4 linked regions of the Lonchura striata genome follow. Each later gene encodes a partner of the first gene's protein in a complex. Links are inferred from orthologs where the notes say so. Each region holds a gene or a part of one and is shown in the gene's direction. Other genes may lie near its edges. The genes, in order: FNIP1, LAMTOR4, FLCN and LAMTOR3.

Region 1 (7,138 bases):
TGCTAGCATTGGATATATCTAGTGAACATCTGAACAGCTGGTCAGATCATTGAGCTTTCTTTTACTTGTGAGAATGTACCACTTTATTGATAGTTATTTATCACTTTTTTTTTTTTCTCCCAGATACTATAACAAGTACCAAAAATTGGATCTACTGTAAACAGAGATGAGATTTTTGGCTCTCAGCAGGAGTTAACAGAAGAAATGACTGTCTTGCTACTGTGACAGGGTGGTAAAACAGAACTCCTAACTAGTAAATAATAGTTATATGGTTTTTGTATGAATGTTGTTTGAAATTTAATATTACATGTTTCTATAAGCTAGTAAATACTCAAATACTTTATATTAAATTGTTTTGTTCAGCAGCTAGATCCTGCTCTGGGCATTGTTCTGTAAGATTCCATAGAGATGATTCTTCAATTTGTTTAGATTTTTAAAAAGTTTGACTGAAGAACAGGAGACCAAATTCCTTTAATTAATTACTTTTGGCTCTTTCTGCCAAGATTTCTAGTTTTCTCTAGTAGCATTAGCATCAAAAGATGGAACCTCTGTTTAAGTGTTAACATTGACTATGAAGGTCAGTGTTAACATGGAGTCCTGGGAGTGGCCATGAAAGCATTCATGCACTCTCGGAGACCCAGAAGTCAATAGTATGGCACCATTAAACTCCTTGAGTGCTTAAGTCTGCAGAACTTTGGAGGTACGGGACTGTGAGTTCTGCTGTAATTTGATTTCTGAACATGACTACAGGTCATCTTCACCCCATCATCACTGAGAATTGTCTCTTAATGATCAGCACTGTCACCATTCAGGGCACATCCACTGCCCAGCCACTGCCACCACAGAGTCCTTCCTGTTTCATCTCAGGTATTTTGTAAGATCACATCTCTTAGTCATTCTCTCTTCTAGTGGCTTCAGACTTAAGAGAAAGTAAATGCCTTACATGAAGACAATGGTGGGAAAAACCCTTTTATAGCTGAACTGTTTGAAGAGATGGATATTGACATTCTGGATTTTCAGGTTACTTCTCACACTGTGTCCACATAAGTTAGACTCCCTGTGCTTCCTGTTCAGGTTGTGGATTGTTAATTCATAAATGTTGTTCTTAATGTGCTGAATGTCTCGGAAAAAACAGTCAAGAACAATTTTTTTCCACTTGAATTCATTGCACATTAAAGTAATTTGGACCCCTACAGTGTTCTCACTACAATATCCTTTACTTAGACTCTATCTGGATGAAAAGAAAATTTTTCAATGTTTCAAAATGCTAGTATGGCTTTCAAAAGTCTGAGTTTGTTTCTCAGTGTTATCACCCTGGAAAATAGTTCTGTATTTCCTAAAAGAGAATTAAAAGAAGACATACAAAATCCATAACTGTAGTTTGACTGCATTTGAAAATACCTGTGAAAGTTCAAACTCTGATCTTTTGCCCATTGCTCTGGGGTAGAAGGAAGTGCAAATAATTGCTGCTGGATTAGTCTGCGAACAAGTATTATATAAACATTCTAAATGGCTCAAGGTTAGAAATTATGCCATTAAGCTATTTTTCTTTTAAGCATTAATAGAATGAGTTCTGCCAGTAACTCCTTGGAGTCCTGTCGGGTATGCTTTTAATTATCAATATCCTTGTTCTTGCAAATACTATCACTAGTAATTATGCAATAATCTAGGGCCCCTAGGAGATGGAGGTGAGCTCCTTGATGTAGCTTTAAGCAAAATTGAAAGTTACATATTTAGTAAGTTTACTTGAATAATCATCATAATGCTTATGATGTAATCATCATAATGCTTATGATGATTATTCAAGTAAAAGATGGTCCAGAATAAAGATATGTTTATTGTAATGGTATTCTGGAAGTCATAGGAAAAAACACTTATTTTGCCCCAGGGCATTTGGTAGTGTTATACAAAGAGACTAATACTGGCAAACTAATTGGAAAGTGCAAGAGAGGAAAACATGGTCTGTAACTGTGGAATTGGCTGTAGCAGCATGAATATTGCTGGGGTTTGCCTTTGTTTTTCTTGATGTGATGAGGTTGTATAGGAGGACAGAAATATCACGAACCACAATCTCTTGTCCTTCCCTTCAGTTATGAAAGCACTGCTTCTTATCATCTTTTGTCTGACTCTTAGAGAAAGTGTAATTAATTACCAGCCTAGCTTTTTGCCCCAGGGAAGGAAATTCATTTTGACGCTGCAACAATCCCTACTCTATTCTCAAAGGAAAGGCATTTTCCCATAGTTTGGTTTTCAGCTGAAAAATTACTACATAAAATTTCATTCAGAGTGGGAACTAGCTCTTCCATATTGGTAGATAAAGGTTATGGGTCATGGCCAGTTAATGGGCAGGACTGAGGAGGTTATTTGTGCAGTGATTCAGGAGAAGAATCTGTTCAGTGTCACCAGGGCTTTTCTGTCACATCCCAGACATGATGAAGTCTTAATGGCTGGAATGGAATTGCTTCCAGCGAGTCAGTCCATGCAAGAACTCTGATAATCCTGTATCAGCAGGAATTGTGCATGGCAGATGCATGTTGAGTAAATGTATTATACATAAATCTGTAAGAGGTTTTTCATTAACAATGTTCAGTTATTCTTGTTATCTGAAGTGCACTTTTAAGAGACTTTGACTCCAAGTACTCAGAGATGGTGGGAGATGTGTCTTGTACTGGAGTACTACAAGGGGGGTACATGAACAGGTCAGTGGAGGGTAAAGCCTTACATGCAGATGTTTCTGGTTTGGTTCATAATCTTTAGACACAGAAAAGATGTCTGGGCCCAGATCAAAATATGCTGAATGTATACATAAGTACACTTATATTTAAAGGGACTCCATCAGCTTGAATTGCAATGCACTTGAGCTTAGTGACATCTTCATTGCTCTAAGTTGTGAAACTGCTGAGAGCTGAGTTACATACTCTGGCCATTATTCTATAGTTTTGTTCCCTGAGGACTTTCTATCTTTGAGACTGTATTTATGTGCTCCTCTTGAAGCCAGGAGGCTTCTACATGGTGAAAAGATGTAAAGATTCATCATGTGTAATCTGTGGCAGCCACATGTGTCTTCTGTACAGAATAAGGGGGGAAAAGATGCATCTAAACATTAATTCCTGTTTTGTGGTAGAATTGTCTACAACTCCTGGTAGATGGAAAACGAAGTTCCTACAGATGGATGATTGTGAAGAATCATTCTGTAGATACATTACACGTGCTAAATTATGCCTTAAAAAGAATAATGCTTAATTTAATCTTACATCACATGTTGTTTAATTCCATTTTCCGGGGAAAGCAGATGAGTCAGTCAGTTTTGTCAGTCCTTAATTAAACTTCCTAGCAGGATTGTATCTGAACAGTGAGACACTGAAGGAGACTGTTTCTATTTCATTTAGGTATTACTAATAGTTTTGTAAAAAGGCATGGATCCTTTTGATTTTAAAAAACCTATCACACTTTTTTTTTTTTTTTAATTTGTTTTGGAGTCAGTTGCTAGGCTTTATGTCCTAAATACTCTTTTGTGGATGGATGTTTTACCTGTTAATGATGGCTTTCTCTGCCATCAACTACACGCGTTCCACCTTCCCTGTAGGTTTTGACTCCAGTGCGTCTGAGCTGAGCGGTTCTGCTCCAGCTGTGGGAGAATCGCTTCTTGTACCTGGGAGGAGAGCGGGAAGGAGCTGGGTTTTCGAGGCTTGGGGTAAAAACGTCACCTTTCTCTGGTTCACCCCTGCACGCCGAGTCCCGAAGGCGCTGGGTACAGCCACGAGAAGGATCTGATGCCTCGATCGTGACCTCTCGCCTTCCTGGAGCTCCTGCCTTTAACTTCCGTCCGAAGAAGGAAAACACAACAGCGGCGTGTTATCGCCGCCCCCGGGGCATTCCTTGGCCCTGCCCCCAGCTGAGCCCGGCCGGGAGCGGGCGCTTTTCCCGCAGACGCTGCGGCCGGAGGAGCCGCCGGGGCGGGGAGCGGGAGGAGCTCCGCACTGCCCCCGGCTCGGCGGGGTCTGCCGGGCTCCGCTCTGCACTCGGGGCCGCCCCACGGGGCCCGCCCCGCCCGCCGGCCGGCCCCCGCTCCCTCCGTCCCTCCCCTCGCTCCCTCCTCCCCTCCTGGCAGCGCCGGGTGACTAATTTCTGTCATATGACTGTGACACCGAATGGAGCGGGGCGGGCGGAACTAGCCGCGGCGAAGGGACGGCGCTGCGCGGAGCCCAGCGCCTCGGCGGCGGGGGCAGCGGCAGCGCCCCAAAATGCCGCCCACCCTCTTCCAGAAGCTCTTCAACAAGAAGCACGGCCTGATCTCCCCGGCCAGGGACGCCCGCGACGACTGTGTCTTCAGGTAACCGGGACGGGGTCGCGCTCCTACCCTGCCCCAAACTTCTCCGAGTTCTCCGCTCCCTCCGCCGCCCGGCGGACGCGGGGGCTGGCAGACCCTTCCCTGCCCCATCTGCAGCTCCTGGGCGACGTGCCCCGTTCCCCCCCCAGCCCCGGGGGATCCGTCCCCCGTCCTCCGCGGGAGCCCCGGGCCGCCCCGGCCGGGCCCCTCCGGCGGGCGCGGGGCGGGCGCCCCCGGGACCGCCACGTCGGGGCCGCCGCGGTGCCTCGCTCGGCTGCCCCCCCGGCCGCCGCTCCCCGCGCCGGGCCGTGCCTCACCCCCACCCGCGGCTGCCTCCCCTTCCCCGCCGTGTCCGAGGCCCCGCGGGCCCCTCCGGGGATGCTGCGGGCCGGTCCCCAGGAAGCAGCCCCAGGAGCGGGGAGAGAACGTGAAGTTTTGGCGAAGAGAGGAGTGGGGCTTGTGGTGAAATTCGTCATGCCCTGAGCGCAGCAGCAGCGCTGGCTCGGCCGAGCGAGGCCAGGCTGAGCGCGGGGAGCGGGGCAGGGGCCCGGGCAGCCCGGGGGCTGTGGGGCCGGCCCGGGCGGAGGCTGGTTCGATGCGCTGCGGGCCTGGGCTCGCTGGGGCTTCGCGGGCTGCTTTGCTCGGAAACAGGTAGCTTTTGTGCTGACCCACGCGTGAATAATGGTCAGGCTCGAAAGCGATGCCGTGTCTGCGTCCTGGCAAAGACAGAACCTTCAATATCGCCTTAAAGTGCGGTTTGCCATTTGGATGGAAATAAAATCTGCTTCATTAGTAAGAGTTACGGGCTTCTTGAAGCACTTCTAACAGTGTGGTGAAGCTCTCCTCCCACCCGCTGCCTTGAAATTTACTGCATACAAATGATCAGCCCTTGGGTTGCTCTGTAAAGGGACATTTCTGACTGATGGGCTTAATTTTCTGTGGTGGAATACACCTTTCAGCTGCAGTATTTAGCAGTTTAGATGGATAACAGTGTATTTGCAGTTACCTAACTACAGAGGTTTTCAAAAAATATTGGTTGGACTATATGAGTCCTTAAGGAGTCAAGACATGCTCCTGGTTGTTACGTGGAGCTCACACTACTTTTGAAGACACTGATGCGTAACTGCTTTCACACCTCTCTGATATTCACCATGGAGTGAATCCTTTTTTAAAATTATTTTTTCTAAGAAACAAAACGTTTGAAGGATGTCAATGTCATCTTATTTTCCAAATCATGTTAATACTGGACCAGAGCCCTTGGTGGGGAAGGGGTACTAAGACTGCTCTTAGTACCTTTTGCTTTGCCTTAGTGATGGGTTTGTTTAGAGACTGGTGGTTCATGCAACAGCTGCAGTGCAGACCTGGGGCAGAAATGTGGGACTCACACCCGTGTTGAAAGGAAAGTGAGTACTTGGCAAGGTCTGTGCTTCCCTCGTCACCTGTATCCTTCTGTGCCAAACTGGGTCTGAAATTTGTAGTGCTGTTTCACTTTGTGATATGAATTGTCAACTGGTAACTGGTGAATTTGCAGTTGGGTTTTTTTTGTGGAACCACAGGTAGAATTTGCAGGGAAAGGCTGATGAGGCTCTGGGGAGGGTGGGAGATCCAGCTCTGACTTAGGAGAGTCAAGTAGTATTTTTAAAGATTAATACATATTTCTCTAGGCACATTGCCTAATGGCTGCTTTCATTTTACAAATGAGGCTTAAGTTTGTAGCTAAGATCACAACTTGTTAGGATTATCAATTCCTGATGAAACTTTCAGGTGGTACACAAAATAAGGACTGATACTTGACAGCTGAGTCTTTGGAGACTGGAAATAAGCACTTTCGACTGTTGCTGGTTCCAGTGAACCTGAATGCACCAACCTCATCAATTTCATTGGGGCAAGGTGATGTTTTATGGATTGATACATTATATCTATTTACAGTCTAAATAACACAGCATTTCCCAAATATTCTGAGCGCTGTTATTTCTGTCTGTCTTCACTTTGAAAACACAACTCTCTTATTCAGAAAACCCATAAAAATGCATAATTCTCTTATTATATTTTGTGAATAATATGTACTTGGAGAGAAGAGCCCAATTACTCTGGCAATGACATTACTATAGCAGAACATTTAAGAATGATTTTGCCACTCTTTTTTTTTTTTTACTATCAATGTATTTTACATTTCCATCAGTCTTATTGTGAAAATTCATCAGTTCTATTTATCTGACCTTACACTGTTTCAAAAATAAAACAGTACTTTTCAGGAGACACATTTTGTTTAGTTGTTGATTTGTGGGTAGGTTTGTGGTGGGTTTTAATTTTTTTTCCTTTTATTTTTTTTTCTTTTTTTTTTTTTAATTTCCGGCCAAAGATCTCTCTCTGTGCTGTGGGTGTGTGAAATTTTGTGAGCCTATGTCTAGCCAGACTCTGTATAACTCTTTGTGACTAGGTTCTGGAGAAGTTAAGAGGTTTAGTAATGGGAACAGTAAATTAGCAACTGGAAAATATTTGCTAAGGTGACAGTTTGCCATTTTTGTAATTTTAAACATATATATCTATATGTATGCAGTTTATTTTACAGAAGGAACTTTAGGAAATCACAGTAGATCCACTGCTTGTTAGTTTTTTATCTCTTCCATTTAATCCTGGGCAATTGGCAGATTGGGCCCTTAGACTGAAATCTCTTACTACAGCTTGACATTCACATGTTGAGCAAGAATATTCAAATTTTAGTGGTAAAATCTCTTTACAAGAAACACAGAAACACCTGCAAGCATTCTAGGAGGGAACAGTTAAGCCCTTATATTCCAAGATGTA
Region 2 (7,600 bases), on another chromosome or scaffold:
CGGGCAGTGCTGAACCAGCTGGAGGAGCTGCTGAGCGACATGAAGGCGGACGTGACGCGCCTGCCGGCCACGCTGTCGCGCATCCCGCCCATCGCCGCGCGCCTGCAGATGTCGGAGCGCAGCATCCTCAGCCGCCTGGCCAGCAAGGGCGCCGAGAGCCACCCCCCGCCCGTGAGTGACACCCTGTCACACTGTCACATTGTCACCGTGTCACCCTGACACCCTGTCACACTGTCACACTGTCACCCTGTCACACTGTCACACTGCCACCTCGGCATCCTCAGCCGCCTGGCCAGCAAGGGCGCCGAGAGCCACCCCCCGCCTGTGAGTGACACCCTGTCACACTGTCACACTGTCACCCTGTCACACTGTCACTGTGTCACACTGTCACCCTGTCACACTGTCACACTGTCACACTGTCACCCTGTCACACTGTCACTGTGTCACACTGTCACCCTGTCACACTGTCACACTGTCACACTGCCACCTCGGCATCCTCAGCCGCCTGGCCAGCAAGGGCGCCGAGAGCCACCCCCTGCCCGTGAGTGACACTGTCACCCTGTCACATTGTCACCGTGTCACCCTGACACACTGTCACCCTGTCACACTGTCACCCTGTCACACTGTCACACTGCCACCTCGGCATCCTCAGCCGCCTGGCCAGCAAGGGCGCCGAGAGCCACCCCCCGCCCGTGAGTGACACCCTGTCACACTGTCACATTGTCACCCTGTCACACTGTCACCCTGTCACACTGTCACTGTGTCACACTGTCACCCTGACACCCTGTCACACTGTCACACTGTCACACTGCCACCTCGGCATCCTCAGCCGCCTGGCCAGCAAGGGCGCCGAGAGCCACCCCCCGCCCGTGAGTGACACCCTGTGACACTGTCACCCTGTCACATTGTCACCCTGTCACATTGTCACCCTGTCACACTGTCACACTGTCACCCTGACACACTGTCACCCTGACACCCTGTCACACTGTCACACTGTCACCCTGTCACATTGTCCCCGTGTCACCCTGTCACACTGTCACCCTGACACCCTGTCACCCTGTCACCCTGTCACCCCACCGTGGGGACATTGGTATTGTCCCCCTGTCACCCAGCCCCAGGGACATTGTCCACGCCTTGGGGACAGCCCTGACCCTGGGGACAGCCTGTCCTGAGGACACCCCTGGCTGTGGGGGTGGCAGCAGGAGGTGACCCCAGGAGGTGACAGTGACGGGGTGACACCAGGAGGTGACAGGTGACCCCAGGAGGTGACAGTGACGGGGTGACCCTGGGAGGTGACAGTGGGGTGGTGGCTCTAGGAGGTGACGGGGAGGGTGACTCCATGGGGTGACCCCGGGAGGTGACAGCATGGGGGTGGCACCAGGAGGTAACACTGGGAGGTGACCCCAGGTGACCCTGGAGGTGACAGTGGGAGGTGACACCATGGGGTGACCCTGGGCAGTGACCCCAGAACTTACCCCTGTCACTGTCCCCTGTCCCTGTGTCCCTGTCACTGTCCCCTGTCCCTGTCCCCTGTCCCTCTGTCCCTGTCCCTCTGTCCCTGTCCCTCTGTCCCCGTCCCTGTGTCCCTGTCCCCTGTCCCTGTCCCCTGTCCTGTCCCTGTCCCTGTCCCTGTCCCTGTCCCTGTCCCTGTCCCTGTCCCCTGTCCCTGTCCCCTGTCCCTGTCCCCTGTCCTGTCCCCTGTCCTGTCCCTGTCCCTGTCCCTGTCCCTGTCCCTGTCCCCTGTCCCTGTCCCCTGTCACTGTCCCCTGTCCCTGTCCCTGTCCCCTGTCCCTGTCCCTGTCCCCCGTCCCTGTCCCCTGTCCTGTCCCCTGTCCTGTCCCTGTCCCCGTGCTGTCCCCAGACCTTCCCGCCGGGGCCCTACGCGACCCCCCCGAGCTACGGGGGCACCTTTGGGACCCCCCCAGCCGGAGCCCTGCCCCACCCCGGGGGGGCCAACTACAGCCAGATGCCACCGGGCTCCTTCATCTCCGGTGAGACACCGGGACACCGGGACACCGGGGACACCGGGGACACCGGGGGGGACTGGGGACAACGGGGGGACACGGGACACCGGGGGGGACTGGGGACATTGGGGACACTGGGGACACTGAGGGGGACTGGGGACAACGGGGGGACACCGGGGACACCGGGGGGGACTGGGGGGACTGGGGACACTGGGGTGGATACTGGGGGGACACCGGGGGGGACTGGGGACACTGGGGGGGACTGGGGGGACTGGGGACACTGGGTGATCCCCAAAAATGGGACACTGGGGACACTGGGGGGGACAAAATGGGACACGGGGGGGGGGTCCCTGGGGTCTCTGAGGGTGTCATTGGGTGGAGAAGGGGGTTCCCTTGGGGTCCCATGGGTGGGGGTCTCTGGGGCGGTTCCCATGGGTGGGGGTCCCATGGGTGGGGGTCCCATGGGTGGGTGTGGGGGTCTCGGGGGAGGTTCCCATGGGTGGGGGTCCCATGGGTGGGTGTGGGGGTCTCGGGGGCGGTTCCCATGGGTGGGGGTCCCATGGGTGGGGTTCCCATGGGTGGGGGTCCCATGGGTGGGTGTGGGGGTCTCGGGGGAGGTTCCCATGGGTGGGGGTCCCATGGGTGGGTGTGGGGGTCTCGGGGGAGGTTCCCATGGGTGGGGGTCCCATGGGTGGGGGTCCCATGGGTGGGGGTCCCATGGGTGAGGGTCCCTGACCCCCGTGTGTCCCCCCAGCCTCGAACGGCCCCGCGGTGCTGGTGAAGCGGGGTGGGTGTGGGGTTCCCATGGGTGGGTGTGGGGGTCTCGGGGGCGGTTCCCATGGGTGGGGGTCCCATGGGTGGGTGTGGGGGTCTCGGGGGCGGTTCCCATGGGTGGGGGTCCCATGGGTGGGGGTCCCTGACCCCCGTGTCCCCCCCAGCCTCGAACGGCCCCGCGGTGCTGGTGAAGCGCGAGGCGGAGGCGCTGGAGCGGAAGGAGCCGCCGCCGCGGGGGGGGGAGGTGATCTGCATCGACGACTGAGGGGGGGGAGGGGCCGGGGGTCCCCCCTGCCCCTCCCCCCCCCAAACCCCCACCCCGGGGCGGCCCCGAGCCCGGCGGGGGGAGGGGCGGGGGGTGGGGGAGGGGGGGAGGGGCTATAAATACGGAATTTGGAATTCTATAGGAGCGGGGTCGGGGGGAGGGGCGCTCCCCGGCCCTCCCCCCCCGCCCGGGCTCCGTTTCACCGCAGAGAATAAACCCGAGTCTGTCCCGGGATTGTCCCAGACTGGGGAATAAACCCGGGATTGTCCCAAAGGAGTGGGGAATAAACCCGGGATTGTCCCAGACTGGGGAATAAACCCGGGATTGTCCCAGACTGGGGAATAAACCCGGGATTGTCCCAAAGGACTGGGGAATAAACCCGGGATTGTCCCGGAGCTGGGGAATAAACCCGGGATTGTCCCAGACTGGGGAATAAACCCGGGATTGTCCCGGAGCCGAGGGGAATAAACCCGGGATTGTCCCAAAGGAGTGGGGAATAAACCCGGGATTGTCCCGGACTGGGGAATAAACCCGGGATTGTCCCAGACTGGGGAATAAACCCGGGATTGTCCCAAAGGAGTGGGGAATAAACCCGGGATTATCCCGGAGCAGTGGGGAATAAACCCGGGATTGTCCCGGAGCTGGGGAATAAACCCGGGATTGTCCCAGAGGAGTGGGGAATAAACCCGGGATTGTCCCAAAGGAGTGGGGAATAAACCCGGGATTGTCCCAAAGGAGTGGGGAATAAACCCGGGATTGTCCCAGACTGGGGAATAAACCCGGGATTGTCCCAAAGGAGTGGGGAATAAACCCGGGATTGTCCCAGAGGAGTGGGGAATAAACCCGGGATTGTCCCAGAGGAGTGGGGAATAAACCCGGGATTGTCCCGGAGCCGAGGGGAATAAACCCGGGATTGTCCCAAAGGACTGGGGAATAAACCCGGGATTGTCCCAGAGGAGTGGGGAATAAACCCGGGATTGTCCCGGAGCCGAGGGGAATAAACCCGGGATTGTCCCGGAGGAGTGGGGAATAAACCCGGGATTGTCCCGGAGCAGTGGGGAATAAACCCGGGATTGTCCCGGACTGGGGAATAAACCCGGGATTGTCCCAGACTGGGGAATAAACCCGGGATTGTCCCAAAGGACTGGGGAATAAACCCGGGATTGTCCCGGAGGAGTGGGGAATAAACCCGGGATTGTCCCGGAGCAGTGGGGAATAAACCCGGGATTGTCCCAAAGGTTACCATGGAGAGGTTTGTGGAGGGGAATTCCCCTTTTTTTGAAGCTTTTTTGGGCCGTTTTGCCCCAATTTCCCCATTTCTTGGGGGGCGCGGGGGCGGGGCTGGAGGAGCGAGGGACGATGGAGCGCGCGCTGGGGGACTGACGTCACTTCCGGCGCGGGAGGACCCACCGAGATGCGCGGGGCGAGCGCAACTTCCGGTTCCGTGGGGGAAACTACAGAGCCGCGCGCTGGGTAACTGACGTCACTTCCGGTGCGCCGGACCAGCGAGTTCACCACGCCTCTCTGCCCACGTGATCCTGCAGCCGGCTCCGATTGGTGGATGGGTCGGCGACGAGAGAAGCGCTAAACCAATGAGGGATCGGGGCGGGTACTGAGGGCGGGTCACGTGATCGGAAGGGAAAGCGGGAGCGTCGCCATGGTGAGAACTGGGATGGGGAACTGGGAGAGACTGGGAGAGACTGGGATGGACTGGGATGGACTGGGATGGACTGGGAGGGACTGGGGGGGACTGGGAACAGACTGGGATGGATTGGGATGGACTGGGATGGGACTGGGAGGGACTGGGGGGGACTGGGGGGGACTGGGAACAGACTGGGATATACTGGGAGGGACTGGGATGGAACTGGGAGGGACTGGGGGGGACTGGGAGGGAACTGGGAGGGACTGGGATAAACTGGGAGGGACTGGGATGGACTGGGGGGGAACTGGGGGGGAACTGGGAGGGAACTGGGAGGGACTGGGATAAACTGGGAGGGACTGGGATGGACTGGGGGGGAACTGGGATGACAGCAGCCTGTACTGGTTTATACTGGGCTGCACTGATCCGTACTGGTCCATACTGGTTAACGCTGTCCGTACCGGTTTATACGGGTCCATACTGGTGTGTACTGGTCCGTACTTACACTAGTTTATACTGGTTTATACCGGTCCGTACTGGTTTACACTAGTTTATACCGGTCCGTACTGGTTTATACCGGTGTATACTGGTCCGTACTGGTTTACACTAGTTTATACCGGTCCATACTGGTTTACACCGGTGTATACTGGTCCGTACTGGTTTATACTGGTCCGTACTGGTTTACACCGGTTTATACCGGTCCGTACTGGTTTACACCGGTGTATACTGGTCCGTACTGGTTTACACCAGTTTATACTGGTCCGTACTGGTTTACACCAGTGTATACTGGTCCGTACTGGTTTACACTAGTTTATACCGGTCCGTACTGGTTTATACCGGTGTATACTGGTCCGTACTGGTTTACACTAGTTTATACTGGTCCGTACTGGTTTATACCGGTGTATACTGGTCCGTACTGGTTTACACCAGTGTATACTGGTCCGTACTGGTTTATACCGGTGTGTACTGGTCCGTACTGGTTTACACTAGTTTATACCGGTCCGTACTGGTTTACACTAGTTTATACCGGTCCGTACTGGTTTATACCGGTGTATACTGGTCCGTACTGGTTTACACTAGTTTATACCGGTCCGTACTGGTTTACACCGGTGTATACTGGTCCGTACTGGTTTACACTAGTTTATACTGGTCCGTACTGGTTTACACCGGTGTATACTGGTCCGTACTGGTTTATACTGGTCCGTACTGGTCCATACTGGTTTACAGCGCTGTCTGCGGCCCGCAGGCGGCGCTGGCGCAGGGCCTGGAGCGGGTTCCGGCCCAGGCCGGGTTCCTCGTGATCAGCGACGGCGCCGTGCTGGCCGTGAGGGGCTGGAACGGGGGGTCCCGAAATTGGGGAGGGGTCCCAAAATTGGGGGGAGGGGAACCTAAAATTGGGGTCCCGAAATTGGGGAGGGGGACCTAAAAAATGGGGGGAGGGGGACCTAAAATTGGGGTCCCAAAAATTGGGGAGGGGTCCCTAAAAATGGGGGGAGAGGGGCCTAAAAATGAGGGAGGGGTCCCAAAATTGAGGGGGGGTCGTCCCTAAAAATGGCGGAAGGAGTCCCAAAATTGGGGGGTGTCCCTAAAAATGGGGGGAGGGGTCCCTAAAATGGGTCTCAAAATTGGGGAAAGGGATCCCTAAAAAATGGGGGGAGGGGTCCCAAAATTGGGGTCCCAAAAATGGGGGGAGGTACGGAACTGGGAGGTCCCAAAAACTGGGGAGGGGGTCCCTAAAAGTTGGGGGAGGGGGGAGGCAAAATCTGGGGGGGGGGTCCTCGAATTTGAGGGTGCCAAAATCTGGGGGAGGGGGGGGAAGTTCGGGGGGGGGGGGGGTGTGAAGCTTTTTTGGGGGTTCCTCAATTTGGGGAGGGGTCCCTTCAAACCGGGGGTTCCCAGGTGGGTTTTGGGTTATTTTTTGGGGATTTTTGTTTCCCTCTGGGAGGCTTCAATTTTTTGGGGGGGGGATCTTGGAGTGAGAATTCCCAAGAAGTTTTGGGGGGATTCCCAAGAATTTGGGAAATTTTTGGGGGGGTGGTTCTCAGGTCATTTTTGGGGTGGTTTTTTGGGGCATTTTTGGGGAGTTTTCTCCTCCTGGGTCCCCCAGTTTTTTTGGGATCTTTGAGCGAGAACTCCCAAAAGAAATTTTGGGGGGGATCCCCAGGAATTTTGTGGGGGTCCTCAAGTCATTTTTTGGGGTGATTTTGCTGCATTTCGGTGCCGCTTTTTGGGGGTTTTTTTGGGGGGGATTTTTTTTGTTCCCCCTGAGAACTCCCAAAAAGCTTTCGGGGTTCCCCAAATGCGGAATTCTTCCTTCGGCAGTCCTCGGGGGACCTGGAGAACGACGAGCACACGGCCACCGTCCTGCAGGGCCTGGTGGCCACGGCGCTGGGGCTGCGGCTGCCCCGCGGCCACGAGCCGCCCTTCCGCCGCCTCTCGGGTGAGCTGGCACGAAAAGAGGCACGGAACCGCCCCGAAATACCCAAAACGGGCACGGAACGGCCCCGAAATATCCAAAACGGGCACGGAACGGCCCCGAAATATCCAAAACGGGGACAAAATATCCAAAACGGGGACAAAATATCCAAAACGGGCACAAAATGGCCCCGAAATATCCAAAACGGGCACGAAACCGACCCGAAATACCCAAAACGGGCACGAAACGGCCCCAAAATACTCAAAACGGGCACGGAAGGGCCCCAGAATATCCAAAACGGGGACAAAATATCCAAAACGGGCACGCAACGGCCCCAAAATATCCAAAACGGGCACGGAACGGCCCCAAAATACCCAAAACGGGCACAAAATATCCAAAACGGGCACGAAACCGCCCCAAAATATCCAAAACGGCCCCAAAATATCCAAAACGGGCACAAAATATCCAAAACGGGGACAAAATATCCAAAACGGGGACAAAATATCCAAGACGGGCACAAAACGGCCCCGAAATATCCAAAA
Region 3 (7,484 bases), on another chromosome or scaffold:
ATTCTCAAGCCTGCAGACCTGTTTCTGAACAGAACTAACTCTTTCCCTTTCAGAGTATGGGCTCTCAAGAAGATGACTCAGGGACCAAACCATCCAGTTATTCTTGAAATTAATGTTGCTCACCACTCCGCTTTCAAGTAAAAGCTTACGAAAGAATCACGCCTGGAACAGGGCATTGAGGAGTTCCACAAAGAGAGCAGAGAGAACTGAGCTTTGCTTTTCACCTGGACATTAAGAAAATAAAAGAACACCCTCTCAGTACTGTATAATATCAGAAATATTCTCTGCAAAGAAAAAGGAAATCTCAAAAGAAACTTGAAAGTCTGTTGTGGATTTATTTATCTTCAGATTAACATTGTTAATGCATTAAATAATCTACCTTTTGTTTTAAAGGGTTTGAATGTTGCCGTGTTTCTGTAGCAGTCCTCCTCTTCTGCAAAAGAAAGTGTTATTCAGGGAAGAATACAAACCAGTGTTGGTTCACTTACAAGATAATTATTGGTTCATTATTCTGTATTTAAAGTTGGCTCAAAGTGCAGATTTATCATATGTGTGGTGGGGGCAGAGAGGTGGAGTTCAAGCAAATCATAATGTAGGGAATTTGCATATGCCCCATGTAGCTGGTGCTGTCTGTTAAATGAGGAAATAAGAACTGTTCTTCCAGAAAGGATGAGGATATCAACATGTCCTTGTAAGGAAGTTTGCTGCAAAGTAAGAATCATATATGGAAAACATACGTGACAGCTGTTTATGATTTTAAGTTTCTGTTGCAAAATATCTGCTAATATTATTTGCTCTTAGATGAAATTTATTAGGCCTAAACAAAAGGATATTTGGAAAACATTGGTGTTCTGGAGGATTCTAGATAGGAAGTTGTTTACACTGAAAGAAATTTAAATGTTTGTTCCTGTGCAACTGGCATGAAGGTATTCAACAGGCTGATTGTTTCTTTGGTGGAAACCTGTATTTCTGCATGGAACATAAATAGAATTCTATACAGCTCTCAAAATGCAGGATTTTATTCAGATATAATGTGTTGGAATGGTACCTGGTTTTTAATTTACTATTTTAAACTTTGAAACTTTGCTATTGGATTCTTTAAAGTGCTTCACCCCTTAAATCCAACAGGCTGTTTAATTTTCTGTCATTCTCGTGTATTTGAAGATTCTCACTGTTCAAACACCTTCCTGTCAGGCAGAAATAAACCCGTCATCAAATCAGAAAACAAGAAGCTCAACAGCCACTGCTTCCTACTGAAACACCTGGCCAGGAGCTGCTTGCTCCTGCTGCCCTGCCAGCTTTTGTCCAGGTGGGAGCTGAGCATTCCTGGCTCTTGCTGTGAGAAGTTTGTATGTATTGAGGTCACCTATGGTTGAAAATATTCCATTTGTGCTTCCAGCGCTGATACAGAAGTGTTGGTGGCAGCAGGGTGCTGCCTTCTGGTGCAGAGAGGTGTCCCAGGTTGTGGTTGGTGGTGGAGGACATTTTTAAAAAAGTATAAAATAGCAATTTAGTAGTGAACACAGTGGAGGTCCATAGTGTGAGTAGCTCATCACTTCCTGCCTGAGAGAATTCCATTGGGACAACTTTTATATCTGATCTTTAAGCAAGATCTTGGGGTTTTTCATAACTCACAAGTCTTGTAACTAGAAGAGATCTATGACTTGGAAGGTTTTTAGCCTTGTTAATCCTGCAGTGATTTTAATGCTGAACATACAGCATTTTCCCCTCTGGTCCCATGGAAGTATTAAATGAGTAATTAGTGATGCTGTGGCTTGAGCCCAAAACAGGGTGGTTGTTACAACCACATGTGGCACTCACAGAAGGGACTGCAAACAACTGACCCCAAACCCCACCCATCCAGAAATGTGCCTGCCTCAACTCTCTTTGCCAGTGGCTCCCTTGCCAGGGGAGAATGTATTGCCAGGGGAGAATGTATTCAAGATGCTGTCATGGAGTCTGAAAAAAACCAGGAATGTCCATTTTTACACTACTAGTTCCTGTTATTGAGCATGGATTTACCTGCTGAGATCTGCAGGATGGTTTTCCAGCTGTGGAATTAGAAGCAAACTAATCCATGCAGCTGGTGAATAGCTCTAGATTTTTCTCTTCTTTTTCCTTGCCCAAAGTAGATAAAATAAATCCATGCTCACATCAAAAGGATGGCAAAAATAGCTGTGTAATAGTTTAAAGTGATATATTCCATTACATATCTGATTTTTAAGAGGGCAAATGCTTTTAAAGTTAGAGAATGGCTGCGGTTCCTTTTCTGTCTGTGCTGTCAATGTCTGAATTCTGTTAGAAATTCAAAGTCAGGTCCCACCTGTAGAATCAGTAGATAAAGCATTCACCAAAAGTGCTCCAGGGAAGGGCTTTTAAGTCCTCGTTTGATAAACACACATGATCTGGCATCTGCATGTCTTGAGATAGCGCTGAAATTAAGTCAGATTTTTAATGAAGCAGCTCCTTCCAAGTCTTGGAACTAATTGCCTGGGCTGTGGTCAGCTGAGAGGCTTCGAGAACACTTGGGCTTTCTGGTTTTAATTTGTATTTACTGCAGGGAAGGACTTCTGCTGAAATCTAGGAACACTGCGTGCTGTGCTGCTCCCAACTTGGACTCTCAGAGGTCTCGTGGCTGTTCCTTCCCATCCTGCATGGTCACAAGATGTGTCCAGGGAATACTGAGTGCACGCTTTGATATCTGACTCTGATTTTGATGCATTTTAATTGGCAAAGACACAAAATGCACTTCTGAAGGCAGCATCACATGTGCAGCTGCAGTTCATAGCCACAGGAGGGGTCTCTAGGCCAGTCACGGTGAGATTTGGAAATGTTCCTAAGGAGGAATGGTTGGAAGCTGTGTCCAGCCAGCCCCCACTCCTGGTTTTGTGCCACTGAGGAGCCCCAGAGCGAGCTGTGCTGAGCCATTGCTCCGTGGTGTAACTGCAGCTGCCTCCTCCTCCACAGCTCCCTGTGTGTGCCACGGCACAGCCACAGCCCCGTGTTTGTGTTGTCACAGGCCGTCTGTATAACCTAGGAAATGTTCTCCGTGTGCCACGCTGGCCCGGGAGCTTAGTCCTGAGAAGTTGTTTAAATGTACTATTGGAAAATAAAGATAACAAACGAGTGGTTCTTAGTTTGTCTTCAATGAGATTGTAGGTCTTTTCCATTTGGGGTTTTCTTAGGTTTTTTGGGGGGATCTCTCTGTTGTGGTTGCTTTTCAGGAGGTGATTTTTGGCTGACTGGGGAGGCTGCTGGTTGCCTGCTGTGTGTGGCAGTGCCCTCTGCTCCAGAGGTGCTGAAACCCTGCTGGTGGCTTCTCAGAGCTCTGCTGAGCAATTCCAAGTAGAAATAATCTTTCTTTAGTGTCTTTCTGGAGAAGTGCTGCTGCAGGTCCTTGACTGAGATGAGCTTTGGGATTTTGGATGGAACGCATCTTCACTAGTCTAGTGAAGATGTCCCTGCCCACAGCAGGGGCTTGGCATGGGATGGTCCATGAGGTCCTTCCAACCCAAACCATTCTGGGATTTGTGTCTGAGCTCTGTATTTCTGTAACAATCCATCTTGCTGACCATCTGGCTATTGTTTTAATCAAAGACATAATTATTAGTCCATGAGTGGCTGTGCTTGGACCCAGAGGTGTGTTGTGTAGTGGTATCAGCAATAGCTGCTCTTTCTTGGGATTAAAGTACGAGTTTTACTCAGTTGAATAATCTATGCTGTTATCTACCTGAAAACTTATTCTTTTTGTTCAGATTCAGGTATTTAAAGTTCTTTAAGTGGCGACTCCAAGGGGCAGGGAGGAATCTGGTACTTTATTATTTTTGAAGGTCAATAGGTTCATATGGAATTTGGTTTAGCTTTCCATCATAGATTCTTAAGAGATAAATAATATTTTAATATTTAAATGTGATATCCTGAAGAGAAACAGGAGTTGTTTAATGGAAATAAAGAGCCTGAACAGGCTTAACTTGGGCATCTGCTCCCCTGCCCTTCCCGGGCTGTACCTGTGCAAACACTTCCACAGAGCCGCTTTATACATCGGGAAACGACAGTATTGTGAAACCTTCATCTGCCATAATCTAACATTCTGAGCACTTTAAGGAACTAACACAGACGGTGGGTGCTGAGTCTCCAATGGAGAAATCGCGCCGAGCCTGCGAGAACACGGCACCGCCCTGAGGCCGGAGAAAGTCCCGGGAAGGGGCTCTGCGACAGCCGATGGCGAAGCTCGTTAATGCGGCAGGCTCCAACCCGGCCGCGGTTTCCATCCCGGCCCCGGCTCCGGTCCCGGTCCCGGTCCCGGCCCCGGCTCCGGTCCCGGTCCCGGTCCCGGTCCCGGCCCCTCCGGGGCTCCGCCCGCGGCCACCCCGGGTCCCCTCCCAGAGCCCGCGGGTCACATGACCCACAGCGCGGCCCGTACCACCCCGCGGGGGGAGCGCCGTCCGCTCCCGGGGCGGCCCCCGCCGGTCGCTGGCTGCCGCTCGTCCCTTCCGGTGTCCCCGGTGATGGAACACCGCTGCTCCGCTCTGCGCCGTGACAGCTGGGCAGGTGTAGCGCGGGCGGGGAGGGTGCGCCTTCCAGACCTTCTTACACCCCCCTCTGAGATAATGGCTCCGCCCGGCCCCTGTGGACAGGGCGGCCCTGGGCCGAGCCACTGCAGCAGCCGGGGGGTGGCGGCTCTCCGGGCGGGACGGCCGGCTCAGTCCCGCGGTACGAACGGGCTTCTCATCTCTCTCTCTGTCTCTCTCCTACCTTGTTCTCCATCTTCTCGCTTCTCCGCGGCGGCGGCGGGCGCGCGGGCGGGGCGCTGTGTGTCCCTGCCCCCCCTCCCCCCCCCCCCGGCTGGCGGTGGGGTGGTAGGGCCGGTGGGTCAGTCGGTGTCAGGCTCGGGACGGGCCGGGGGCGCCGCGGTGAGCGGGGCGGCGGGCACGGGAGCGGGGCGGCGGGGAAGGGAGCGGGGCCGCGGTGACGGGGAGCGGGGAGCCGGACACTGCACCCGCGGGACAGGCTGGCTCCGGCAGGGCCTGAGCGTTCGGCTCCCTGGGTGCTCCGCAGCGCCCGCCCGATCCGGCCTGAGGCTCCGGCCACGGGGGATCTTCTGGTCTGAGCTCAGCCTTGATCCAGAGGAGGCCACCAAGGTGATCGGGGGGGAAGAGCACCTGGCCTTTGAGGAAAGGCTGGGAGAATTGGGATTGTTCAGCCTAGAAAGGGGAAGGCTTCGGGGTGACCTAATTGTGGCCTTCCAGTACCTAAATAGAACTTGCAGGAAAGATGGGACAAGACTATTTACAGGGGTGTGGAGTGACACGACCAGGGGGAACGGCTTCAAACCGACAGCAGGCTTAGATAGGATATTGGGAAGGAATTTGGCCTGTGAGTGTGGGGAAGCACAGGTTGTCCAGAGAAGCTGTGGCTTCTCCATCCCTGGAAGTGTCCAAGGCCAGGTTGGATGGGGCTTGGAGCAATCTGGGATAGGGGAAGGTGTCCTGTCCGTGGCAGGAGGTTGTACTGGGTTATTTCCAAGGTCACTTCCTACCCAAACCATTCTGGGATTCCCTGAACCTGTAATACTGGAGGTATCTGGGCTTGATGGATTGGTCCAGCCCCATTCACCCCCACGGGGCTTGACGTGTCCTGGATCAGCGTCCAGCATCTGGGCACGGCAGGGTGAGTTGCTGATGGGGTTGCCCATCAGCAAACAGAAGGTTGCTCCTGGATCAGTGCAATGCCTGGGGAGGTGTTGGAGTCACCATCCCTGGAGGTGTCTAAGGAAAGACTGGACACGGCACTCAGTGCTCTGGGCTGGGTGACAAGGTGGGGATCGGTTGGACTTGATGGTCCTGGAGGTCTCAGGCTGAGCTTAAGGCCAGCTGCTCCGGGTGGGGTGCAGAGCAGCAGCAAGGGCTGAGAGCTGCCCTGTATCTGTGTACTGACCGTGTGCTCTGCCCCTGGCTGCAGGAGCCTGGCGGCGGTGCTGAGCCCTCACGATGAACGCCATCGTTGCCCTGTGCCATTTCTGCGAGCTCCACGGCCCTCGCACCCTGTTCTGCACCGAGGTCCTGCACTCGCCGCTCCCGCAGGGCGCCGGCAGCGGGGACATCTCCGGGCAGAACGAGCAGGCAGAGGAGGAGGAAGGTGGGATTCAGATGAGCAGCAGGATCCGCTCGCACAGCCCGGCTGAAGGGGCCAGCGCCGACTCCAGCAGCCCAGGGCCAAAGAAATCAGACATGTGTGAGGCAAGTGGGAAAATCTGTGCGTGGGGATCTCCGTCCTTGGCTGTGCTAAAGGGCTCTGGGATTCTCTGATGTAAATTGAATTGTTTAGAGACAAATAAAAATGTGAACAGAATATGTTTTATATGTGTCAGTGCCAGAAGATGTCCAAGTCCTCATAAACTGCAAGCTAGCCCTAACTGTAATCCTGGTGATCCATGACAAGAGGATGAAGGAGCTGTTGTTGAATGCATACACCTTGACAGGACCTTGATGTCTCTTTAAGTTCTGTGATTTGTGATTCTCCTGTGGCTGAGAAATGCTTTGCTCATCCTTGAAGAACATTTATTTTGTTAGATTAGATCAGATAAATTATTAATAGTAATTTTAAGAGCAGTATTGGTTAGGAAAGAATTAAAAAGTAAAACAATAAAAACAATAGGAAAAAATTATATTCTCATTCATTCAGGGCTGTTCAGCCTGGAGAACAGAAGTTTGTGTGGAGACCTCGCAGTACCTTTCCAGTGTCTGAAGGGGCCTGCAGGGAATCCAGAGAAGGACTTTCATCAGGAACTGCAGTGATAAGACAAGGAGTAGTGTGTTGAAACTGAAAAAAGGGGAAATTTAGGTTAGATATACTAAAAAATTATTCCCTCTCAGGGTAGTGAGGCCCTGGCACAGGTTGCCCAGAGAAGCTGTGGCTGCCCCATCCTAGGAAGTGTCCAAGGCCAGGTTGCATGGGGCTTGGGAAGGTGTCCCTTCCCATGGCAGGGGGTGGAATGAGGTGCTCTTTAAGGTCCCTTCCAACCCAAACCATTCTATGATTCTCATATTTGTTTTCTATCAGTACTTCCTCTCACATATTTATTATTTACTTTCCCTTCAGTTGTGGCCAGTTTTGTTTGGCCGGTTGGTTTCTCAGCTGCTGTAACTGAACTTTACCAGCACTAAGTTCATAGTGGGCTTAAATAGTGGAAAATGAGCATAAAAGCAGAAGAAGTATATCAGAGTTTTGTGTGAGGACCTGAGTTCAAATCCTGACCCTGACTCACCTTCCTTGTCTTCTGAGTCTTTGTGTTCCTGTCTGTGTGTGTAAATAAGATTTTACGGTGCTTTGGAGGGAACAGTCAGAGCTCTTTGGAAATCTCAGATACCTGCACGCTCATTTATGGCTGGATTTGCTTTTCTGCCTTCAGGGCTGCCGCTCTCTTGCAGGAGGACACCCGGGGTACGTCAGCCACGACAAGGAAACCTCCATCAAGTACGTCA
Region 4 (7,494 bases), on another chromosome or scaffold:
AAATTTGCTGAAACAACAAAAAAAAAGTGTTGCTGTACTGAATGCCCTTACTAAGGCTATAGTAAAAGGGTTCAGATGTAATGGAAAGGCATCCAGTTGTTTGAAATATGCAATCAAAATCTATGGAGAAAACGAGATTCCCCAGATTTTGTAACTGTCCAGAATGTATTGTAATTATATCAATGAAAACAAACTATCAAAATACATCCTGGTACTCCTGTGTCTTCTTAAAAGAAGAAAGTTGTTCCAAAGGCTTTAACAAGTACTTAGACCTTCCTGTTTACAAATGAGTCTGAGCTTGCAAGTGATCTTTTAGTTAACAGGAAAAAGGATATATAACACATTTATCAAATATTGGAACTGTGAAGTCAGAGTGAACAGATGGTCTTAGCAAAGCTGCCTATAATAATTCTATGGGCTGTGTCTGCCCTTCAGCCACTTCTGGTGCAGGTGAGAAGTGGGGAAATGGATGGATGCTGAGCTGTGTCAGCTGGGTTCCATTCCTATCAGTTCTTCTGCAAGCTGGAATGATGTGCTGGCTGTGCCCTATGGCAACACAGATATCCCATAAGGTTAAAAGTGAGACCTAGACCACAACATTTCATTTGACTACCTTGCAATTAGCACTTTCTGAAAAGGAAATAATATGTTTATACTGGTGGAAGTATGCTGCTTAGCATTTAACAGATTAAATACTTGCACACTTTGAAATACGTAGTAATGTGCAAAAGGATGCTGTGATTTCCTGTGGCATAAAGATTAAGCTGCTCTAAATATGGCCTGCAAACACTCTTTTAATATTTCAAGTGGGTGTTTTTCTCCTCATGATTGTTGCTTTTTTCCTCAAGTCTGAAGGTTTGGTTTTTTTTTCCTTCAGAAATGTCAATATCTTCCCTGGATTTATTGAGGGAATCTGCTGGAAAGTACAGAATTAATTTTCTCATGAGCAAAATGCAAATTGAAGAGAGTGGAGTACTTAAATCTTTTCAGATGACCTTTCTTCAGAAGGAAAAGTTCTCATTAAAATAAGATATTGGAAAGAGAAGAGGAAAACAACACTGTTTTTGAACAGCCTGACTAAAAATCCCTCAAAATTTTAGCTACATGCTCCTTACTGTTTTTATTTAGTGATTACCTTTCATTTAATCTAGAGTTAAAGATAGCACAAGCATGGGTTCTTGGTTTTATCCTTTAAAAGGGCAGGCAGAAAAGTCCAGCAAAAAGAGAAAAATCTTGGCATGACTCTGACATAGCCTAATGAAAAAAGGAGGTGATTTGCATCTGCTGAAATATAACATCAATATGTGTTCTATTTATGGAGCATCCTGAGTCACAAGCGAGTTCAGTGTTCACATCTGATGAACATTTCCCTACAAGTTCTCTGTTTGGGTAAAACAAGTCTAAATTGGAATTTTTAACTGTTTTTTAAATGGTCTTTTTTCTTTTAACAAGTTTCCAAGAAATGGTAGAACATTACAGCGCTAAAACTGTAACAGATGAATTTAAATAGACATTAGAGACAACTTTAAATAATGAATATTTTTAATGTAATTTTGTAACAAATGCTGTGAAAGGATTTCAATGGGAGAGCAAGAATATTTTTTAAGGTTGTTTGTTCATAAATTTCATTCACCATTAAGCAGTTGTTATTCTGACTCCTTGTAGCTCTGTCAAATTGAAGAAAAGTGTAATAGTAAAAGCATTTTGTTTTTAGAAAAAGCAGGTAATACTAAATAAATTCCTAAAGCTATAATTTACTTACACAAAATGTAATGCAATAAATGTAGGAAAAAAAAGGCCATTTGTTGTGGTTTGGCCTCAGCCATGGATCAGCACCGTGCAGCCAGCTGCTCTCACCCCCACAGCGCAGTGGGAAAAATTGAACTCAGGTAAAACCTGTGGGTTGAGATGACAGCAGTTTCATCATCGAAACAAAATCAGGTATCAGTGATCAACAGCAATGAAAAGGGACACAACAAGGGAGAGAGGAATTGATGCCCAGTGCAATTGCTCACCACACTCTGACCCATGCCCTGCCTGTCCCTGTTGAGCAGTCAGCAGCTCCTGACCAACCTCCCCAGTTTATACACTGACCATGAGGGGATCCATGGAATGGAATTGCCCTTTGGCACATCCAGGTTTGCTGTCCTGGCTGTACTCCCTCCCAGCTTCTTGTTCACCTGCTCACTGCCAGAGTGTGGGAGACTGAAAAATCCTGGATTTAGAGTAAGCACTGCTCAGCAACAGCCAAAGTATCTGTGTTACCAAAATTATTCTCATACTGAATCCAAGGCACAGCACTGTACCAGCTGCTTGGAAGAAAAGTAACTCCCCTCTCCCAGCTGAAAGCAGGACACCATTATAAACTATACTTCCCATACTGCTCAGTCTGGCAGGAATTAGGTTTGAGTATTGGGCTTCTCCATGTTTTTAGAAATAATGTTAAAATACACTGTTTAGTTACAATGTTATCCTTCATGTAAGATACGCTTCTCCCTCCAGTACTGGTTTATTCCACATATAGAATGACTGTCATTGGGATGGGAGAATAAATTCCCATTAATAGTAATACAGGAGCCATCTCATAGATGCTTTTGCATAGCTTTTATTCAAAATGTGACAGGGAAATAAGTAAAATTGTTCATTGAGCATCATGGCTGCAAATAATTTTTTAAAAGTTGCATTTTTAAACATATTTAGTGTATATTAGGGAATATTTTAATAAATGAGAAGACCAAGGTTGTTCCAGGTAGCATTTTCAAAATATACCAGAAGCTCACACAATGATTTTAAGTATCTTTTAAGTATCTCTCTAATATGACCAAGTCCTTATCAAATTGCTGTGTGTGCATGGCTTGGATTAAGAAGGAGGTATGGATTCTCAGTATTCAAATAAATTTGTTCTTTTGAATTACTTTTTCCTCTTACTTGCAGAAAGTGGCTTATTTCTGTTTTGAGCTTTTTGGAAATGTCACTGGACCTATATGTGCAGAAACATTAGCAATTTCCAAGTTTTTTTTTTTTTTTTTTTTTTTAATTTACACTTTTTAAAAGTTTAATTTTATACTGGCATCTAAGCAAAATCTTCAGGTATCAACAATGCTCTAGTCCCTGTTGGTGTCCCCTCGGCTCAGTATTGGGCCCACTCCTATTCAGTATCTTTAGTGATGATCTGGATAAGGAAATTGAGTCTACCCTCGGTAAGTCCACAGTGACACCAAGTTGGGTGGCATTGTCGATCTGCTGGAGGGCAGGAGGTCTCTGCAGGGGATCTGGACTGGTTGGATCAATGGGCTGAGACCAACAGAATGAGGTTTAACAAGGCTGAGTGCTGCCCTTGGGTCACAGCAACCCCAGGCAGTGCCACAAGCAGGAGAAAGAGTGGCTGGGAAGCTGCCCAGTGGAAAAGGGCCTGGGGGTTCTGGTGACAGCAGCAGAACATGAGCCAGCTGTGCCCAGGGGGCCAAGAAGGCCAAGGGCATCCATCCTGGCCTGTATCAGCAATGGTGTGGCCAGCAGGAGCAGAGATTGTTTCCCTGTACTCGGCACTGGTGAGGCCACAGCTCAAGAGCTGTGTCCAGTTCTGGGCCCCTCACTGCAAGAAGGACATTGAGGAGCTGGAGTGTGCCCAGAGAAGGGCAGCGGAGCTGGAGAAGGGTCTGGAGCACAAGTCCTGTGAGGAGTGGTTGAGGGAGCTGGGGGTGAGTGTTCAGCCTGGAGAAGAGGCAGCTCAGGGGCACCTTACTGCTTACAGCCCCCTGACAGGAGGGTGTAGCTGGGGGGGTCGGCCTCTTCTAGCATGCAACCAGTGACAGGATGAGAGGAAATTATCTCAAGCTGTGCCAGGAGAGATTCAGGTTGGATGTTAGCAAGAAATTCTTCACAGAAAAGGTGACTAGTACTGAAACGGGCTGCCCAGTAAGGTGATGGAATCACTGCTGCTGGAGGTATTAAAGACTGGACGTGGCACTCAGGGCCATGGTCTGGTTAACCTGGTGGTGTTTAGTCATAGTCTGGACTTGATGATCTGGGATGTCTTTTCCAACTTAATTTATTCTGTGATTCCGTGCTTGGCCTGTAGCAGCTTTTTTTTTTTTTTTTTTTTTTTTAAAGAAAAATCATTGTTACATGCTGAGCAGCTTGGGGCATTTTTAGATCTACCATAAGGGTCCTGCATTCCGATAGAAGACTTTAAAAACAGATGTGCAGTTACCATTGTAACTAACTGTTACACTGTAGGCATCTACTAAATTAATCTATTTATTTCTTCACATTAGCTGTTAAATTGGCCTGCAGGCTCATGGTTTGATGGAATTGATCCAAAAGTAAGGGAAATAGGCAACAGTGGAAGAGCGGCAGTAATTTCTCGGCAGAAAAAGACGTTCGCTTTCTGTCGCTGATCTTCTTTAAGCAAAACGCTATGGCTTGTTTTGGCTTTGGTTCGTTTTGCTGCCGGGGCGGGGAGGGCGGGGACGGCCGGGAAGCGGTTCCGGGGCCGGCAGGGCGGTGCCGTGGCTCATGTGACAGCGCTCCGAGGGAAGCGGCGGCGGAGCCGTGCGGGGCGCGGGCAGGTACGGCGGGGCGGGCGGGAGCGGCCGGCCGGGCCCCGGGACGGAGCGCGGCCTCCCTCCCTCCGGCCGCCCGCGGTGACGGGGCCGCCTCGTCTTGTCTCGCAGGCCCCGGAGGCGGCGGCGGCAGCAGCGGGCGGGCCCCAGCCATGGCCGACGTGAGTGCGGCTCCGCGGGGCGGGCGGGCCGGGGCGGGCTGCTGGCGGGGCCGGGCGGTGCTTCGGGCGGGGAGGGAGCTCCGGAGTGCCCGGCCGCTCGGAGCGGCCGTGAGTAACGCGCCGCCGTCTCTGCCCGCAGGACCTGAAGCGGTTCCTGTACAAGAAGCTGCCGAGGTGAGGTGGGGCTGTGCGGGGCGGGCGGCCGGGCCCATCGGGTGCCAGCCCCCTGCCATGGCAGGGACACTTCCCACGACACCCGCTTGCTCAGAGCCCTCTCCGGCCTGGCCATGAACACTTCCAGGGGGGGGTATCCACAGCCTCCCTGGGCAGCCTGTTCCACTATCTCACCGCCACATAGTAAAGAATTTTTTCCTAATAGCTAACCTGAATTTCCTGGTTTTCAATTTGTCCTGTCACTGCAGTTTGTGATTACGAGTTCCTCTCCAGCTTCCCTATAAACCCCGTTCTGATACTGGAAGGTTGCTGTGAGGTCTCCACTCAACCTTTTCTTCTCCAGGCTGAACAGCCCCAACTTCCTCAGCCTGCCTTTGTAGGGGAAGTGCTTCAGCCTTTTCATCAACCTCATGGCTTCCTCTGCACTTGCTCCAGCAGTTCCATGTCCTTCTTATTGCTGGGGCCACCAGACCTGTACTAAACAGAACAAATACTAAATTAATGAAGGCATCAGTTTTTTTCAAAGTTCTCCCCTTCTTTGCACATTTGTTCACACAAAAAACCTTTTGTACTAATTACTGTGTTTTTAAAATTATGCATCTTCTTCCTTTTTTTTTTTCAGTGTTGAAGGACTTCATGCTATTGTGGTCTCAGATAGAGATGGTGTGCCTGTTATCAAAGGTAACTTCAGCTTCTCACTGTGCTCTGCAGCTGAAATCCTGATTGAACAGCAGAGGGTGGAGAAGTACAGAAAAGTCTTCCTGGTTATGCCAAATACCCGAATATCCCAAGTGGTAGAATTTAATTGGACTTTAAGTAAAAGTTCACTAGTTGATTATGTACCTTTTTGAACATATCCTTTTGTCTGTGCCCTCCGTAACTGTAGTCTGTGGGAGTTTTCCTCCATGACAGGGGCTGGAATGCTGTAAGGTCCTTTTAGCTTCAAGTCCCTCACAGGCTGATTGATACTAAGTAGTAGAGAGAGCTTGGCAGTATTTTGTTGGTTTCTTTGGTACTCTAGTTTTCATGTTCTGCAGTGCTTGTTTCAGATGGTTTTGGCTTGTGAGTATAATGGTTTAAGGATACAAAGATTCAAGTATTGCAGGTTTATTTTGCTCAATGCTCCAAAGTATTCAAACACCCAGCAGAACTTGCACATCTTCACCTGTCTGCAGTCAAGTGTGTGCCAGTAGTCTGTTCAAAGGTTGGAATGGGTGCAAACAGTGTGGGACATGGAACCAAAGGGGCATCAGCACAGGCTGTGCATCCTAAAGGAAAAGAGTCTTTTTCAGGTATGCAAGGAGGGATGCTGCTATAGCAAGCTATGATCATACAGAGAGCATTAAATTATGTACAGCTCGTGAAAATTGTCTGGTGTTCCTGTGGGAGCACCTCGGGCATCTTGCATGTTTCTCTGGTTTTGGCAGAGCACTGAGCTGGATGAGAGTTTGAGGTGCAGTCAGAGACACCATGTAAAGATAAGGATTTTCTTGTTTTGTTCTAGTTGCCAATGATAATGCTCCAGAACATGCACTGCGACCTGGCTTTTTGTCCACCTTTGCCCTTGCCACAGATCAGGGCAGTAAGTTAGGACTCTCTAAAAACAAAAGTATCATCTGCTATTACAATACCTACCAGGTGAGTAACCTCAGCGTGCCCTGTCCTCAGCAACTTGAGCTGTTCCTGCGTTACATTGAGCAAGAGAAAGAAGGTTGTTTAAGCTCTGGTAGATTTTCACTAGGCTGCTATTGAAGTAATTTTGGTTTATTTCTTACACAGCTTAAATGGTTAAGCCAAACTTTCACAGTATTTTTAAAACTTCTGTTATATTTCTCAAAACTTGAGATTTACTTCTTGATAGTGGGAAAGTGTAGTGGTTCTGAATTTGCAGGAGGTATTGTTCGTATGGTCTTCTGAATCTTTTATGAAGGGTTTATGTACTCTTTTAGAAACAATGTTTATAATTAGTGACACCTAACATTAATTAAAGTACATGCAGCCTACTTCATAGTTAATCTTGCTGCCAATATGGCTTTGAGATAAGAATGGTTTGAAATACCACTCACATTTTTCAGAAATAAATTATTTGTGTCCAGAAGTCTATAATCTACTACATTTCTGTTCCTTCATGAGTTCTGGTGGCCCTGAGAGCTTTTAATTATGACTGCAGTAAACTGAACAGCTGTTTAGCCTATAGTGTATCAAGCTTTGCTTGGAAATAAGTGGGTGAGTAAGACAGTTTGCCCACATCAGTACATTTCTTTGACTCTCTTGATGCTACTAGCTTACTGTTGTGCCCATGGCACCATTTCCCTGTTAATGGAAGAACAGATATTCCTGTACAGGGAACAGTATTTTAAAACAATAAACCTGTCTGCCATCCTGTTTCCTGTGGAGGGTGTGTCTCCACAATGGAATCTGCAGGGTCTGCAGCTAAGGTAGGGTTCTGGTGGACAGCAGTCTGTAGAACATGGAGACAGAGGGAATGGCCAGATTTTCCATGTGCAGCTCCCTGTACTGTAGTGTAAGGTCTGTTTGTGTTTCTAACCATGAATCTTAAGAAACGGGTACACTAAAAAGTCACCTCTGTGGCT

The links.
Region 2: FNIP1 (region 1) and LAMTOR4 share a complex: the UniProt entries of both Homo sapiens proteins name them as parts of the lysosomal folliculin complex. The link is inferred for Lonchura striata from reciprocal best matches to the Homo sapiens genes FNIP1 and LAMTOR4.
Region 3: FNIP1 (region 1) and FLCN share a complex: the UniProt entries of both Homo sapiens proteins name them as parts of the lysosomal folliculin complex. The link is inferred for Lonchura striata from reciprocal best matches to the Homo sapiens genes FNIP1 and FLCN.
Region 4: FNIP1 (region 1) and LAMTOR3 share a complex: the UniProt entries of both Homo sapiens proteins name them as parts of the lysosomal folliculin complex. The link is inferred for Lonchura striata from reciprocal best matches to the Homo sapiens genes FNIP1 and LAMTOR3.

The regions. Positions count from the first base shown.
Region 1 is NC_134617.1:10,455,262-10,462,399, reverse strand, and holds the start of FNIP1 (folliculin-interacting protein 1), read left to right. Parts: upstream 1-4,134; 5' UTR 4,135-4,244; coding exon 4,245-4,333; intron 4,334-7,138. Other genes in the region: MEIKIN (meiosis-specific kinetochore protein), read left to right, coding at 124-170. UniProt on the Homo sapiens protein: Binding partner of the GTPase-activating protein FLCN: involved in the cellular response to amino acid availability by regulating the non-canonical mTORC1 signaling cascade controlling the MiT/TFE factors TFEB and TFE3.
Region 2 is NC_134636.1:1,852,933-1,860,532, reverse strand, and holds the start of LAMTOR4 (ragulator complex protein LAMTOR4), read left to right. Parts: upstream 1-4,585; 5' UTR 4,586-4,660; coding exon 4,661-4,663; intron 4,664-5,888; coding exon 5,889-5,966; intron 5,967-6,964; coding exon 6,965-7,082; intron 7,083-7,600. Other genes in the region: CHD3 (chromodomain-helicase-DNA-binding protein 3), read left to right, coding at 8-171, 1,862-1,991, 2,903-3,003. UniProt on the Homo sapiens protein: As part of the Ragulator complex it is involved in amino acid sensing and activation of mTORC1, a signaling complex promoting cell growth in response to growth factors, energy levels, and amino acids.
Region 3 is NC_134618.1:15,352,396-15,359,879, reverse strand, and holds the start of FLCN (folliculin), read left to right. Parts: upstream 1-4,469; 5' UTR 4,470-4,713; intron 4,714-4,843; exon of another isoform or gene 4,844-4,913; intron 4,914-5,961; 5' UTR 5,962-5,990; coding exon 5,991-6,239; intron 6,240-7,411; coding exon 7,412-7,484. Other genes in the region: COPS3 (COP9 signalosome complex subunit 3), read left to right, coding at 54-107. UniProt on the Homo sapiens protein: Multi-functional protein, involved in both the cellular response to amino acid availability and in the regulation of glycolysis.
Region 4 is NC_134606.1:49,696,961-49,704,454, forward strand, and holds the start of LAMTOR3 (ragulator complex protein LAMTOR3), read left to right. Parts: upstream 1-4,491; 5' UTR 4,492-4,571; intron 4,572-4,676; 5' UTR 4,677-4,717; coding exon 4,718-4,726; intron 4,727-4,865; coding exon 4,866-4,900; intron 4,901-5,522; coding exon 5,523-5,581; intron 5,582-6,404; coding exon 6,405-6,538; intron 6,539-7,494. UniProt on the Homo sapiens protein: As part of the Ragulator complex it is involved in amino acid sensing and activation of mTORC1, a signaling complex promoting cell growth in response to growth factors, energy levels, and amino acids.